Anolis sagrei: one gene and its partner. The protein of the gene in region 1 purifies or fractionates together with the protein of each later gene. This does not show direct contact. Links are inferred from orthologs where the notes say so. Each region holds a gene or a part of one and is shown in the gene's direction. Other genes may lie near its edges.

Region 1 (7,565 bases):
GTTGGGTGAGAGTATACAACCCTGTCATACGCCTTTCCCAATCTTGAACCAGTCTATTGTTCCATGGTCAGTTCTGACTGTTGCTACTTGGTCCTTATACAGATTCCTCAGGAGACAGACAATGTGATTTGTTATGCCCATACCACCAAGAACTTGCCACAATTTATTATGATCCCATCACATAGTGGTACAAATATGTAAGAGGCAGCATGACTTGACATTCCTTCCGCTTATGGAGCTAGCGCCAAACTCAGGAATACAGTATTTTATTTATTTATTAGTTATTATTTATTAATTTATATCCTATCTTTCTCCCTGTATAGGATTCAAGGCAGATGATGATGATGATGATAATAATTTTTATTTACACCCTGTCACCATCTCCCCAAAGGGGACTCAGGGCGGCTAACATGAGGCCAAGCCCAAAAATACAATATAACAAAATAAAATACAAAGCAAATAAAGTAACAAAATAAAATAAATAAAATAACAGAATAAAATAAGCAGTGCCAAATAACATAGTGGAAAATAAAATACAATGGGTGGGCCAAATGCACAAGATAAAATGATAAAACCCTAGGTGAAATAGGAGTGGAAAAGTGTATTTGTGTGGGAGGAGTTCAAAGGGATGAACAGTGGGGTTAGAGCTTCATTAAGGGCGGGGAGAAAGTGCATCATGAGAACAACTCTGTAGATGAAACAGACAGAAATGGAAGATATGGTCACTCTCCAAAGGCACATCGGAAAAGCCAAGTCTTTAGATCTTTCTTAAAGGCTGCTAGAGTGGGGGTTTGCCTAATCTCAACGGGTAAAATAGATATAAATGTAAAAAATAACAATTAAAACAATTATTGTAAAAACATTAAAAAGGAATTAAATATATTTAAAATATATTTTCGATTTTAAAAATTGTGTGAGAAGTGACGAGAAACTGCAAGTTGCTTCTGGTGTGAGAGAATTGGTCATCTGCAAGGATGTTGCCCAGGGGACACTCGGATGTTTTGATGTTTTATTATCCTTGTGGGAGGCTTCTCTCATGTCCCTACAATGGGGAGTTGTAGCTGATAGAGGGAGCTCATCCGCGCTCTCCCTGGACTCAAACCTGTGACCTGTTGGCCATCTGTCAGGGGTTCTTTGAATGCAATATTCCCGCTTCTTGGCAGGGGGTTGGACTGGATGGCCCATTAAGTTTCTTCCAACTCTATGATTCTATGATTCAGTTCTGCCGGCACAACACAACCCATGGCACCACTGGGGGCTCCTCGATAAAAGATAATAAACATTAAAACATTTTAAAACACAACTTTTCTTATGAACATCTTATAATTTCCTAATTAAACATTCAAGATTCAAAAGTTTGCCTAAATAAAAATGTCTTCACCTGTTAGTGCTGTGGTTCCCAACCTATGGTCCAGCGACCACCAGTGGTCTGCAAGAATGAAAATATGGTTCCTGGCCTCACCATTACTACACCGTTGCTTCAAAACCACGTGGCAACAAGAGCAACTAGTGTGGAGGCAACAGGGATGTCGGGTGGGGAGAGGCTGACTACCCATGAAAGATTGCTGCTACCACATCAGGTCTAGATTATTAAATATGGTTTTCTGTGGGCGAGCAGATGGCGACTACTGGATGGCATATGTTCTGCATCAGAAACTAGAGCTTATGTGGTCTTATCCACTGCAATTTTCCAAATCAGCACCCCAAATAACCAAACCAAATCTAAAGTTGACCAGTTTGCTTAAACTGTTTTTATATGTTTTGTATAATGTGATATAGGCATCGAATCGTGCCTTTGCTTGTAAGCTGCCCTGAATCCCCCTCGGGTGTGAGAAGGGCGGGGTAGAAGTAATTGAAATTGAAATAAAAAATTGATTCTTAACCCTTTTGGGACTAATATTGGAGAGTGGTCCCTGGTCAAAGTGGTCCCTGCTCAAGTGGTCCTTGGTTGGGAATCACTGGCGTAGGGATATTGTGGCTCTCACTGTACCTCCTTGTGGAGAATTCCTTCAGAGAACTGGTTTGTATGACTGTTTTTATAATTTAATTTAATTTATAATTTAATTTACACATTTTACAAAAATAAAAAATGAGTCCCAAAAATAAAAAACGAGTCTGCCTTCAAGTTGCCTGTTTACTTATGGAGAACCCATGCATTTCATAGGGTTTCCTTAGGCAAGGAATACTCAGAGGTGGTTTTGCTGGTTCCTTCCTCTGAATTATAGCCTACAGCACCTGGTGTTCGTTGGCGGTCTCCCATTCAAGTACACCCAAATGCTATTAAAATCGGTGGAACAAGTAGTGGCAAGTAACCTGAATTTAATCAATTTCAAAAGAAATTAACCATGACTAAGTTGTTCTGAACTAATATCCCTTCCTAGGAAGAGTGGACTGTGATGAGAAAACAGAATTAACAAAGTGGTTTTTTTTAAAAGGAAGACATATCTAATATATTCCTGTGTGGGAAACATTTCCAAAATATGTTAAACAATGAGTGGTGGCTACATGACCATTTCATAGCTTGCTGGACAACATAATGGGTTAAGGAGTACTTTATTGGTGGTTTGCTGTGACTTTTTCATGCTGTATGTCCATGTTCCAGAAGCATTCTCTCCTGACATTTCATCCACATTTATGGTAGGCATCCTCAGAGATTGTGAGGTTTATATATCTGGAATGTCCAGGGTGGGAGAAAGAACTCTTGTCTGCTTGAGGCAAGTGTCAATATTGCAATTGGCTACCTTGATTTGCATTTAATGGCCATGTAGCTTCAAAGCCTAGCTGATTGCTGCCTGGGAGATCCTTTGTTGGAAGACATTAGCTGGCCCCAATTGATTGTCTTCTAGAACTCCCCTGTTTTTTGTATGTTGCTCTTTATTTACTGTCCTGATTTTAGATGCTGGTAGCCAGATTTTCTTCATTTTCATGGTTTCCTCCTTTCTGTTGAAATTGTCCACATGCTTGTGGTCCCTGGTCAAAGTGTTCCCTGGTCAAAATGGTCCCTGGTCAAGGTGGGCCCTGGTCAAGGTGGTCCCTGGTCAAGGTGGGCCCAGGTCAAGGTGGGCCCAGGTCAAGGTGGGCCCAGGTCAAGGTGGGCCCAGGTCAAGGTGGGCCCAGGTCAAGGTGGGCCCAGGTCAAAGTGGGCCCAGGTCAAAGTGGGCCCAGGTCAAGGTTGGGCCCAGGTCAAGATGGGTGCTGGTCAAGGTGGGACCTGGTCAAGGTTGTCCCTGGTCAAAAAAAAGGTTGGGAATCGCTGCTATATAGGATCTGGGATATTATACTTTCAGAGAATCTGAATCTATTACATTCAAGATTGTGAAGGATGTTGAAAGATAGACAACACGTAAAGGAGTCATGGGCAAACTTGGGCTCTCCAGGTGTTTTGGACTACAACTCCCACCATTCCTAACAGCCTCAGACAGCTACGTTTTTCGCATCAGCCTGGAGAGCTCAAGTTTGCCCAGATCTGTTAGTTATTTCCAAGTGGACATTTTGGGAAGCAGTTGCTTCTTGGCTTCAAGCTTTTTGGCCCCAGCCCAGCCCAGCGCTCAGGGGTGAATGCATCCACACCCCTCCATTCTTGGCTGACATAACAAAGAGATTCTTCAGACATTTGGACAGCAACCAAATTGGGTCTGGCTTCATCTTGATTTATTATTCTTCGTCATGACCCTTCCTGTCCCATTAATCTAGTCCAGGCAGGTTTTGAATCCTTCTCTTGCTGCTTTTCCATTCCCGTCTTGCCCTTGCCCTCCCTCCCTTTCCTTGTGAGTTTTTTTGGCACTTGGGTTCAGAAATATCTGGAATCTTGAAAAGGAAAGACATTTATTCTTGTTTCTTGGAAAGTGGAAGGCAAGGCAGAGGAGGCTGTCTGGTTTGTGTGCCAAAGAGCAGGGTGAAGGACTGTAAGTAGAAGAAAGTGTCTTCTGAAGTGGGTCTGCTTGCCTCTTTCAGAAAGTTTTCCCTCTCTCTGGGTGGATGGATAGAGGGAGGGAGGGAAGGGGCTCCCCTCACTCCCCGGCCTGGCTCTGGCCCCGGAGTTCCTGCTCCTGTTTAATATTCTGCTTGCTCCACTGATGTTGTGCTTGGCTCCTGTGGGACTGCAACTCACGGCTTGAAACCGGAGCCAATTTTCTGTCTTAATCTCAGTGTTTTGACTGGAGGCAGATCCAGTTCAGCCCAATCGGGGCTGGTGGAAACAACGACCTAAGAGTCTCGCTCTGTTTCGCTTGGGGAGGGAAAGAAAAGAGAGAGGGAGAGAGAGGGGGGGGGGGGAGAGAAGAAAGCCAGGGAAGGAGAGGCAGAGAGAAGAGCGAGGCGCACAAACAAGCCATACCATGTCGTTGCTGCTGAGGTCGCTGAATGTGGAGAGAATCAAGTGATCCCTCTTGCAATCTGGGAGCATCGCGGGTTTGTTTGGATTTTACAGCTTCCTTTCTTTCTTTCTTTCTCGGGAGGGGGGGGGGGGAAGGAAAAGGAGGCGGAGGAGAGTGCCTGAATTAAGTGTAGAGAGGGAGAGAGAGCCGTGAGTGGCAAAGGGAGCAAGGCAGAGCCAAGAGAGCCAAGGAGGGAAGGCTCGCCTTTGACAGTAGGGGAAAAGGCGACCAACCTGAAACACCTTCACCTGGAAGTAAGTGCCACCGGGATCCTTGGGGCTGTGTGTAGTAGGGGTCACTTACTGGACCTGCTTCCCCCTCGTTTGTGTTTTGGAGCGGGGCGAGAATCATGCCATTGGAAGGGGAGATGCGGGCAAGGCGAAAGCCACAGACAAGGGGCGGCGGAGAGGGGACAACGGGGCAGGAAGGCAAGCCGGGGTTGAGAAGGATGGAAGGAGGGAGGGAGGAAAAGGGAAGGGAAGGGAAGGGAAGGGAAGGGAGGGAAGGAAGGAAGGAAGGAAGGAAGGAAGGAAGGAAGGAAGGAAGGAAGAGAGGGAGGGGGAGGGAAAGGAAGGAAGGGAAAGGAGGGAAGGGAAAGGAGGGAAGGAAGGAAGGGAGGCGAAGGGTAGGAAGGGAAAGGAAGGGAAGAAAGGAGGGAGGAAAAGGAAGGAGGCGGAAGGAAGGAAAGGAAGGAAAGGAAGAAAGGAGGGAGGGAAAGGAAGGATGCGGAAGGAAGGGAAGCAAAGGGAAGGAAGGTAAAGGAAGGAAGAAAGGAAATGAAGGGGAAGGGAGGGAGGGAAGGTAGGAAGGGAAGGAAAGAAAAGAAGGGAAGGAAAGAAAAGAAGGGAAGGAAGGAGGGTGGAGAGTGGAAGGAAGGGGGAGAGTAAGGGGCGAGCGCGGAGTGCCAGCCTGACTGCCATGGCCGCTGCCTGGCAAAGCAGGGCAGGGCAGGGCAGGGCGAGTGGTTGGTTGCGCCTCGCCTCGCCTCTCCTCCCTGACCCCATCTTTGTCTCCTTCTCCGCCGGCAGATCGGAGGCGCCGCCGCCACCATGACTCTGGTGCTGCCCCTGAGCAGCTTCTGCGAGCCCATTGTCTCCTCCGAGGGAGCCGGAGAGTTCCAGCCGCTTTGGGAGCCGCGTTATTGCACCAAGAGCAGCACCACCACCAGCAGCAGCCCTGCCTCCGAGGCGGCAGCAGCAGCAGCAGCCTCCTCTTCCAGCAGCAGCAGCAGCAGCAGCAGCAGCAGCAGCATCCCAAGCCCCAGCAGCCTCAGCCCCAGCAGCCAGGGCCAGGCGCAGCCTCATCACCAGCCACCTCCGGGCAGTAACGAAGGCCGCTCATTGGGCGGGCCACCCCCAGCAGCAGCAGCAGCAGGTAAGACGCTGGAGAAGCCACAGAGTGGGTGTTCTGACCCAAGGACTCACCAACAATGACTCCTAGGGCCCCCACCTCCATTGCTGTCACATCATCATCAGTACTAATTTTGTCTTCAGACCAACCTTACCAGTTAATTGGGCTGCTGGGACAGACTACACTCTAGCCCAGGTATGGGCAAACATTGAACCTCCAGGCGTTTTGGACTTCAACTCCCACAATTCCTAACAGTCTGTTCATGCTCTGGACGAGTACAATATGTAGTTTACCCCTCCGAGGCCCCTTCTACACTGCCATATAATTTAGATTAGGGGTCCTCACACTAAGGCCCGGGAGCCAGATACGGCCCTCCGAGGTCATTTACTCGGCCCTCACTCGGGGTCAACCTAAGCCTGATACGACTTGAAAGCACACAACAACAATAACAATCCTATCTCATCAGCCAAAAGCAGGCCCACACTTCCCATTGAAATGCTAATTAACTTTATATTTGTTAAAATTGTTCTTCATTTTAATTATTGTATTATTTTACGTGTTTTTTGCACAACAAATAAAATATGTGCAGTGTGCACAGGAATTCATTCATTTTTTTCCAGATTATAATCTGGCCCTCCAACAGTTTGAGGGACTGTGACCTGGCCCTCTGTTTAAAAAGTTTGAGGACCCCTGATTTAGATGATCAAAACAGATCATCCACATTATGTTTGGAACGGGATTATATGAGTCTACACCAGACGTGTGCAAACTTGGGCCCTCCCGGTGTTTGGATTTAGGAAATCATCTGCTGGTGTCTCAAATGTAGACAGAAAACCTTGCCGATTCCCTTCAAAGGGTGATAAGGGCTTCTTGGCTAAGTGACTTGACTTTGAATTGCATCATGAGAAACTCTATGTTGATGAAACATCAATCTCTTATCTAACTGCTGCTCATTAGCTTATCCATTTGTAGTTGCATCTTTCTCCCTTGCATCTTCCTCCCCTGAGCTCATTTCTCCTTCTGACCTTGCATCTCTGGAATGTGACCTGTTAGGAATTGTGGGAGTTGAAGTCCAAAACACCTGGAGGGCTGAAGTTTGCCTGTGCCTGCTCAAGACTGTTTTAATGCTTCAATGGAGGTGCCTCCCAAGAGAGCAACTGCCATAGAATCATAGAAACATAGAACTGGAAGAGACTTGTGGGTCATCCAGTCCAATCTGCTGCCAAGAAGCAGGAAAATTGCCTTCCACGCACCCCTGACAGATGGCCTTCCAGCCTCTATTTAAAAGCCTCCAAAGAAGGAGCCTCCACTTGGGTCAGAAAGTTCCACTGCTGAACAGCTCTCACAGTTAGGAAGTTCTTCCTCACTTTCAGGTGGAATCTCCTTTCCTGTATTTTAAGACATTGTCCCATGTCCTGGTCTCCAGAAAACAAGCTTGCTCCCTCCACCTTGACATATTTATACATGGCCCTAGTCATGTCTCCTCTCAGCCTTCTCTTCTTCAGGCTAAACATGCCCAGCTCTTTCAGCCGCTCCTCATAGGGCTTGTTCTCCAGGCCCTTGATCATTTTAGTTGCCCTCCTGTGGGCCCATTCCAGCTTGTCAACATCGCCCTTCAGTTGCGGTGTCCAGAATTGGACACAGTGTGATTCCAGGTGTGGTCTGACCAAGGCAGAATAGTGTGGTAGCATGACTTTCCTGGATCTAGACATTATACTTTTATTAATGCAGGCCAAAATCCCATTGACTTTTTAAGCTGCCGCATGACATTGTTGGCTCATGTTTAACTTGTTCCCTGCGAGAACAAGTCAAGCCAGGCACCCCTTATTTGGTATCTTT
Region 2 (8,433 bases), on another chromosome or scaffold:
TTCCAGCTTATTAATATCTGACCAAAGCAGAATAGAGTGCTACTATTATTTCCCTTGCTCTATACATATTTCTATTGTTACAGCCTTGAATTGATAGGCTTTTTTAGCTGTCACATCATACTATGTAATCATATTCACCTTATGGCCTAATAAGACTGCTAGATCTCTTTCTCATCTTTCTCATCTACTGTTGTTAGTGTCACTCATCCTGTATCTATTAATTTTGTTTTTTCTGTATTACATTTCTCTGCGTTGAAATTAATTTTGTTAGTTTTTCCCTCAGTTCTCTGTCCAAGAAAATCTAATGGTTCTTAATATGCTAAAGAATAGATACAAAGATCTCAAGCTGATGGACTTTCTCTTCCAAGAGGGCCAACAATTTGATTTTGCAGCAGTTGTAGCTACCCACATCCGCAGGCAAAAATACATACATATATACATACGTATTTACTATCAATGTTCAATAGCTTTAAAGTAGGCACTGAAGCAGAACTCTGGGTCTTCTGCTCTGGGTCTTCTGCTTGAAAAATTAAATTTGAATCTATACTACTGAATGACTTTTGGGTAGCACTGATAATACCTTTCGGTAGCCGGAAAGGCTATCTCTCTCTCTTTTTTTTTCAGTCTCCCAATTTTTTTTTATTTGATACATCCCAACAATCAACAAAATTTTGCCATACAGGACTTATTTCAATATACATAATTCCAAAAGTAAATATTCCTTAAATGACATTTTATACATTCCTTAGTTATGTATCGCTCAACACCCCTGCCCTCCTCCCAGTACAAATCAGGACAAAAGTCAGAACAAAAAATAAATAACAACACTAAAAAGAAGGGAAATCCAGACAAGAATCAATCAGCGCCAGCTAACACCTATAAATAAAGGATTCTCCAGGCAGGAAGCAGCCAGGCTTTGAAGCTGCAAGGTCATTAAATGCTAATCAAGGTGGTAAGTTACAACATTCACACTTGCCTTCAACAGACAAGAGTTCTTTCTCCCACCCTAGACATTCCACAGATATATAACCTCTACTTGTCTAGTTTCCTACTGACCCCTCAACCTCTGAGGATGCCTGCCATAGATGAGGACAAAACATCAGGGGATGAGGACGAAACATCAGGGCCATACAGCCCGGAAAACTCACAGCAAACTACTATTTAGTTTTTATATGGCAGTGAAGATGGAGCCTTTGTGTCCAGTCAAGAGTTGACCCTTGCTGGGGTATAGTAAAGGTAAAGGTTTCGCCCTGACATTAAGTCTAGTCGTGTCCGACTCTGGGGTGTGGTGCTAATCTCCATTTCTAAGCCGAAGAGCTGGCGTTGTCCATAGACACCTCCAAGGTCATAAGGCCGGCATGACTGCATGGAGCGCCAGTACCTTCCCTCCAGAGCGGTACCTATTGATCTACTCACATCTGCGTGTTTTCGAACTGCTAGGTTGGCAGAAGCTGGGGCTAACAGAGGGAGTTCACACCGCTCCCCGGATTCGAACCACTAACCTTTTGCTAAGCAAGTTCAGCAGCTCAGCAGTTTAACCCACTGTGTGTCACGTTGCCAGGGCTCTACTGTTATTTAGGTAGAGATGAACCAAACAAATACCCAGTTTGTATCAAGTAGTTTAATTAAAACAGCGCTTACTGCATGGAGTGCTGTTACCTTCCCGCCGGAGCGATACCTATTGATATTTATTTATTTATTTATTTTACTTGTATACCACTACTCCCGATTTGGCTCGGAGTGGTTTACAGCAGATTAAAACAATACAATTAACTTTAAAATACAATAAAAACAAGAACAGACAGAGTCTCAAGCTATTCACCCATCAAAAGCTTGTTGGAAGAGAAAGGTTTTACAGGCTTTCCGAATAGCAAGGTCTCGGATAGATCGGGTTTCAACAGGCAAGGCATTCCATAAATAAGGGGCTACGATCGAGAAGACTCTCTGCCTAGTAGAGGACAGATGATAACTCCGGATGTTGGGGACTTTCAGCAAATTTTCAGTCTTCGGACAGAAGTAATCTCTGGGGTTGGTAGGGGGATAAGCGGGCCCTCAGGTATGCCGGCCCAGACTAAATAAGGCCTTAAAGGTTAATACTGGCACCTTGAAAGTAATCCGGTACTCAATTGGTAGCCAGTGCAGCTGTTGTAGAATTGGGGTGATACAACACCTCGCCAGCACCCCAGCAAGAAGACGAGCCGCCGCATTTTGCACCAGCTTCAGTTTCCGGATCACTGACAAAGGAAGGCCAGTGTAGAGGGCGTTACATCTACTCACATTTGATCTACTCACATTTGCATGTTTTCGAACTGCTAGGTTGGCAGAAGCCGGGACTAACAGCAGGAGTTTACACAGCTCCTCAGATTTGAACTTGTGACCTTTCAATCAGCAAGTTCAGCAGCTCAGCACTTTAACCCACTGCGCCACCGGAATCCCTTGTCTGCTTGAGGCAAATGTGAATGTTGCAATAATGGTCACCTTGATTAGTATTGCATGACCTGGCTCGAGAGCAGTACGTGTGAAAAAGATCTTGGAGTCCTCGTGGACAACAAGTTAAACATGAGCCAACAATGTGATGTGGGGACAAAAAAAGCCAATGGGATTTTGGCCTGCATTAATAGGAGCATTTCTCCTATTTCTCATGCCAGTAAGGTAATGCTCAAGATCCTGCAAGGAAGACTCCAGCAATACATGGAGCGAGAGTTGCCAGATGTTCAAGCTGGGTTTAGAAAAGGCAGAGGAACGAGAGACCAAATTGCCAATATCCGCTGGATAATGGAGAAAGGCAGGGAGTTTCAGAAAAACATCTATTTCTGCTTCATTGACTATTCTAAAGCCTTTGACTGTGTGGATCATAATAAATTGTGGCAAGTTCTTGGTGGTATGGGCATACCAAATCACCTTATCTCTCTCCTGAGGAATCTGTACAAGGACCAAGTAGCAACAGTCAGAACTGACCACGGAACAACAGACTGGTTCAAGATTGGGAAAGGCGTACGGCAAGGCTGCATACTCTCACCCAACCTTTTTAACTTGTATGCAGAACACATCATGCGATGTGCGGGGCTTGATGAATGCAAGGCTGGGGTGAAAATTGCTGGAAGAAACATTAACAACCTTAGATATGCAGATGACACCACTCTGATGGCCGAAAGCGAGGAGGAGCTGAGGAGCCTTCTAATCAAGGTGAAAGAAGAAAGCGCAAAAGCTGGGTTGCAGCTAAACATCAAAAAAACCAAGATTATGGCAACAAGAATGATTGACAACTGGAAAATAGAGGGAGAAAATGTGGAGGCCGTGACAGACTTTGTATTTCTAGGCGCAAAGATTAGTGCAGATGCAGACTGTGGCCAGGAAATCAGAATACGCTTACTTCTTGGGAGGAGAGCAATGTCCAATCTCGATAAAATAATAAAGAGTAGAGACATCAGACTGGCAACAAAGATCCGCCTAGTCAAAGCCATGGTATTCCCTGTAGTAACCTACGGATGTGAGAGCTGGACCTTAGGGAAGGCTGAGCAAAGGAAGATAGATGCTTTTGAACTGTGGTGTTGGAGGAAAGTTCTGAGACTGCCTTGGACTGCGAGAAGATCCAACCAGTCCATCCTCCAGGAAATAAAGCCCGACTGCTCATCGGAGGGAAGGATACTAGAGACAAAGTTGAAGTACTTTGGCCACATCATGAGGAGACAGGAAAGCCTAGAGAAGACAATTATGCTGGGGAAAGTGGAAGGCAAAAGGAAGAGGGGCCGACCAAGGACAAGATGGATGGATGGCATCCTTGAAGCGACAGGACTGACTTTGAAGGAGCTGGGGGTGGTGACGGCCGACAGGGAGCTCTGGCGTGGGCTGGTCCATGAGGTCACGAAGAGTCGGAGACAACTGAATGAATGAACAACAATAGGAGCATAGTGTCTAGATCTAGAGAAGTAATGCTACCCCTCTATTCTGCTTTGGTTAGACCACATCTGGAATATTGTGTCCAATTCTGGGCACCACAATTCAAGAGAGATATTGACAAGCTGGAATGTGTCCAGAGGAGGGCGACTAAAATGATCAAGGGTCTGGAGAACAAGCCCTATGAGGAGCGGCTTAAGGAACTGGGCATGTTTAGCCTGAAGAAGAGAAGGCTGAGAGGAGATATGATAGCCATGTATAAATATGTGAGAGGAAGCCACAAGGAGGAGGGAGCAAGCTTGTTTTCTGCTTCCCTGGAGACTAGGACACGGAACAATGGCTTCAAATTACAAGAAAGGAGATTCCATCTGAACATGAGGAAGAATTTCCTGACTGTGAGAGCCGTTCAGCAGTGGAACTCTCTGCCCCGGAGTGTGGTGGAGGCTCCTTCTTTGGAAGCTTTTAAACAGAGGCTGGATGGCAATCTGTCAGGGATATTTATTTGTCGTGTCAGGGCAACCAGGTAATTATATTACATTTCTAACAGAACAAAACAAACAAACAAACAAACAGACAAAATACAAAATTTGTGAGTTGGTAGTTGATTAAATGTCCTTTGACCAGTATTAGAGTGCTTCTGGTGTTGCTGCAAGAAGGTCCTCCATTGGAACTCTCTGCCCCGGAGTGTGGTGGAGGCTCCTTCTTTGGAAGCTTTTAAGCAGAGGCTGGATGGCCATCTGTCAGGGGTGATTTGAATGCAATATTCCTGCTTCTTGGCAGGGGGTTGGACTGGATGGCCCATGAGGTCTCTTCCAACTCTATGATTCTATGATAAATAAATAACCTTGCAGCTTCAAAGACTGGCTGCTTCCTGCCCAGGGGAATCCTTTGTTGGGAGGTGTTGGCTGGCCCTGCTTTTTGAGTGTTGCTAAGCACCAATAGGACCCAAGAAGCCCATTTCCCAAAGCCTGAGATTGGGCCCTCTTCCAAAATGTGGAGCCTTTGCTTCCGGGCAGGCGAGCTGGCCTTGGGATGCGCATCCCCTCTCCCCCCACCCACCCGTTTTTTTTTTCCTCCCAGGGACGCCGCTCCTGATTGGCTGCCAGGGTCCTGGGGGGCGGGGCCTGCGGGAATTGCAGCAGAGGCAGATGACAGCAGCAGCAGGAGCAGCATCCGCCACTGCAGCCCGCTTCTGCCAGGCGACGTCTGCTGCAGTCTGCTGCCTTCTTCTTCTTCGTCGCGCGCGCCCTGCTTAGCGCGTGGGAGCCGCCCCGGCCTTGCTGAAGCTCACCATGCGGCGCGAGCCTTGCTGCCCGTGCTAGGCGTTGTTGGCGGGGGAAGCAGCCGGATCCGCCGCAGGAGGAGGAGCAGCAGCATGGACGGTGCTCTTGCGGCGACCTCTGCCGATTCCCCGGGTCCGCTGCGGAGGGGCATGCTGAGTAATCCTGCCGTCAATGGGCGAGGACACGGAGACGCCGCAGATTAACCATGGCTTCCTTCGCGACCACAACTATGTGACCGAAGGTAAGCCCCTTCTTGGGTTGATGCCACATTATGGCCTCTCCCCTTCTCTTCACTTGCTGATGCTGCAGCCACCCCTCCTTGGAGAAGGTGCCTTTGGGGGGAATCCCTCCATAGAAATGCCTCTTTTTTGCATCTAGAACCAAACTAAATGAGTCTTAGGCCTCATCAGCACTGTCATGATCATGCAGAGCAAACTGGGTTATATATTGCAACATAAGCTCATCTCACTCAATAATATGAGTATAACTGCATTACATGGCAGTGTAGATGGGGCCTTGCATGAGGAGGCTTCGCACTTCCTACCTGCAAGGTTATGTAAAGGCTGTCCGCGTGTGTGTCGGATGCTGAGCCGTCTTTCTTCGATGGTAAGACGCCACTGAATGTATGGCGCAACCACATTTCGGTGCCACCACCAAAAAAATGCAAAAGATGTCATCCAACATTTATTTTTAATTTTTTTATAATATTTTATTTTATTTCAAAAATACACCAACCATATGAAATATTTTCTACCGAATGGAGGAATTGTGTGAGATCAAAATGTACATCAATTAATTCTGCTTATACCTGAAATCAACAATAATTCACTAAAAAAATCCAATTCTAAATCTCCTTTTAGACTGTCATATGATCTACTTCAAATAGATAATCTGGATTTTTTTTCTGGCATTGTCGAAGGGATTTCAGGCCCCTTCCACACAGCTGGATAAAATCCCACTTTGTCTGCTTTGAACTGGAATATATGGCAGTATAGACTTAGATAATCCAGTTCAAAGCAGATGCTGCCTGGATATTCTGAGCTATATAGCTCTGTGGAAAGGCCCTCAGATATATCCAATTTTTAGACATGCCTTAGAATTGAAAAAAATGCAGTATAGGCAAACGACGTTTCCTTTGGTCTGCAGTACTGCAAAGCTTCCCAGTGTAGGGCTATGAAAATGATTTTTAAAATGCACACCAGCCTGCCTGCGTGATCGGGGTTGTATGGAGTTCTCTGCCAGATATGTTCTGTTGAATCTGGAATATGGTGGTCTGTGGAGCTGGCCAGCTTTTTCTTACACTGTCACGCTAAATTTTCAAAATATCTTACATTGGTCTGTGTTTGATTATATATCTATATAAATAAAAATGTAATGTTAGTTTGTGGGATTAACATAACCCAAAAACCACTGGACGAACTGACACCAAATTTGGACACAAGACACCTAACAACCCAATGTATGTCCTTCACTCAAAAAATTGATTTTGTCATTTGGGAGTTGTAGTTGCTGGGATTTATAGTTCACCTACAATCACAGAGCATTCTGAACCCCTCCAACGAAAGAATTGGGCCAAACCTCCCACACAGAACCCCCATGTGGGCCACAGCAACGCGTGGCAGGGGACAGCTAGTATCTATATAAATAAAAATGTTAGTTTGTGGGATTAGCATAACTCAAAAACCAATGGACGGATTGACACCAAATTCGGACACAAACAACCTATCAGGGCAACAAGTGACCATCACTTATAAAAACACTGGAAAACACAGCAGAAGGGACTTAAAAGCCAAAAAACAGAAAATTACATTACAACACATGCACAAAACCACATATATATTTGCAAACACACATATACATAAATATATACACTCACATATACATACACAAAACGCATATACACAGACTGGGCCACAGCAACGCGTGGCAGGGGACAGCTGGTGTGTGTGTGTGTGTGTATGTATATGTAAATTTGATTTATAAACCACCCTATCTCCCCATGGGGACTCAGGGCAATTTCCAGCGAAGTAACAAAATGGCAAACATTCAGTGCCAAAAACAAACAAATAACAAGTCAAAACAGTGGATAAAAAAATCTCAATATAAGATTAGAAATATAACCGAAAAAAACCTGAAAATTAAACATAAATAAGCATGCGCGCGCACACACACACACTTATATTATAGATATACACACATACATGTGTGTATATATATATATATATACACACACATATATAATATATACACACACATATATAATATATACATACACACAGGGTGTGTGTAGTTTCCAACAGACCTCACAACCTATGAAGATGCCTGCCATAGATGTGGGCAAAACGTCAGGAGTGAATTCTTCTGGTGCATGGCCACACAGCCTGGAAACCTCACAGAGACCCAGTGATTCCAACCATGAAAACCTTCGACAACACATTATATTATATATTTTATTATAATGTATGTGTGTGTGTGTACACACACACACACACATATATTATAGACAATATGTTTGAAAAGCTAAACAATTGGGATATATGCTGTAAGATAGCCGTCTGCAGAGGAAATTTGAGCTCGCATTTTAAAAAGCAGTAAGAGAAACATAGTGCTTTGTGACATTGCTTCTGAGATGCTAGCCGCATCGGGAGCAGCCTTGCAATGCTGACTCAAACCATTGGTCCAGCTCAGCAGAAGGACTGGAAACAAGGACTGGTGAGAAATCAGCATGGCCAGCTCCTCTAAATGCCCATCCAGGAGCCCTGGCCCTGTTTCGTTTCTGGAATGAGTTACAGTCGGGTGTGGTGTGTTCCGTGTCCTTCGTCACTTCTGTTCACGTGTTCCATTTTGTGAGCTCACGACAAGTTCATGACAACTTCTGTGTTGTATTTCATTTAATGTGCAATATATTAAAAAACAAATGCTGAAGACGACTTCTTTTTTTACTTTGTGGATGAAACAGTGGTGACGATATTCACGTCAACTGCAATGTATCTGTGTTGCATATGCAGCCCGGCATATTTGGGCAGAGACTTTGACATAAAATTCAGGGTAGTACTGGTGGTGTCAGCCATTATCACCCGGACGAAGAAAATATGATTTGCCCAATTAGATCATCTTTTAAAACAGTAAAAAGGCTTTTATTTTTTTTAAGGTATTGTTGGCACCTTTTTTGCTGACCACGGTGCTATAGTCTGTTACTTACTTACTTACTTAGGCGATCCCTCGTTGTCAGAGTAGGATAATCCTCCAGGGT

The links. The genes of interacting proteins can lie anywhere in the genome.
Region 2: the proteins of SERTAD4 (region 1) and PPP2R2C purify together in Homo sapiens (affinity purification with mass spectrometry; 3 studies listed by BioGRID and IntAct, counting the BioPlex papers as one, with this or other methods). This does not show direct contact. The link is inferred for Anolis sagrei from reciprocal best matches to the Homo sapiens genes SERTAD4 and PPP2R2C.

Annotation. Positions count from the first base shown.
Region 1 is NC_090021.1:31,232,711-31,240,275, forward strand, and holds the start of SERTAD4 (SERTA domain-containing protein 4), read left to right. Parts: upstream 1-4,268; 5' UTR 4,269-4,362; coding exon 4,363-4,410; intron 4,411-4,480; exon of another isoform or gene 4,481-4,630; intron 4,631-5,404; coding exon 5,405-5,750; intron 5,751-7,565.
Region 2 is NC_090025.1:104,884,158-104,892,590, reverse strand, and holds the start of PPP2R2C (protein phosphatase 2, regulatory subunit B, gamma), read left to right. Parts: upstream 1-5,021; 5' UTR 5,022-5,351; coding exon of another isoform or gene 5,352-5,421; intron 5,422-8,433. UniProt on the Homo sapiens protein: The B regulatory subunit might modulate substrate selectivity and catalytic activity, and might also direct the localization of the catalytic enzyme to a particular subcellular compartment.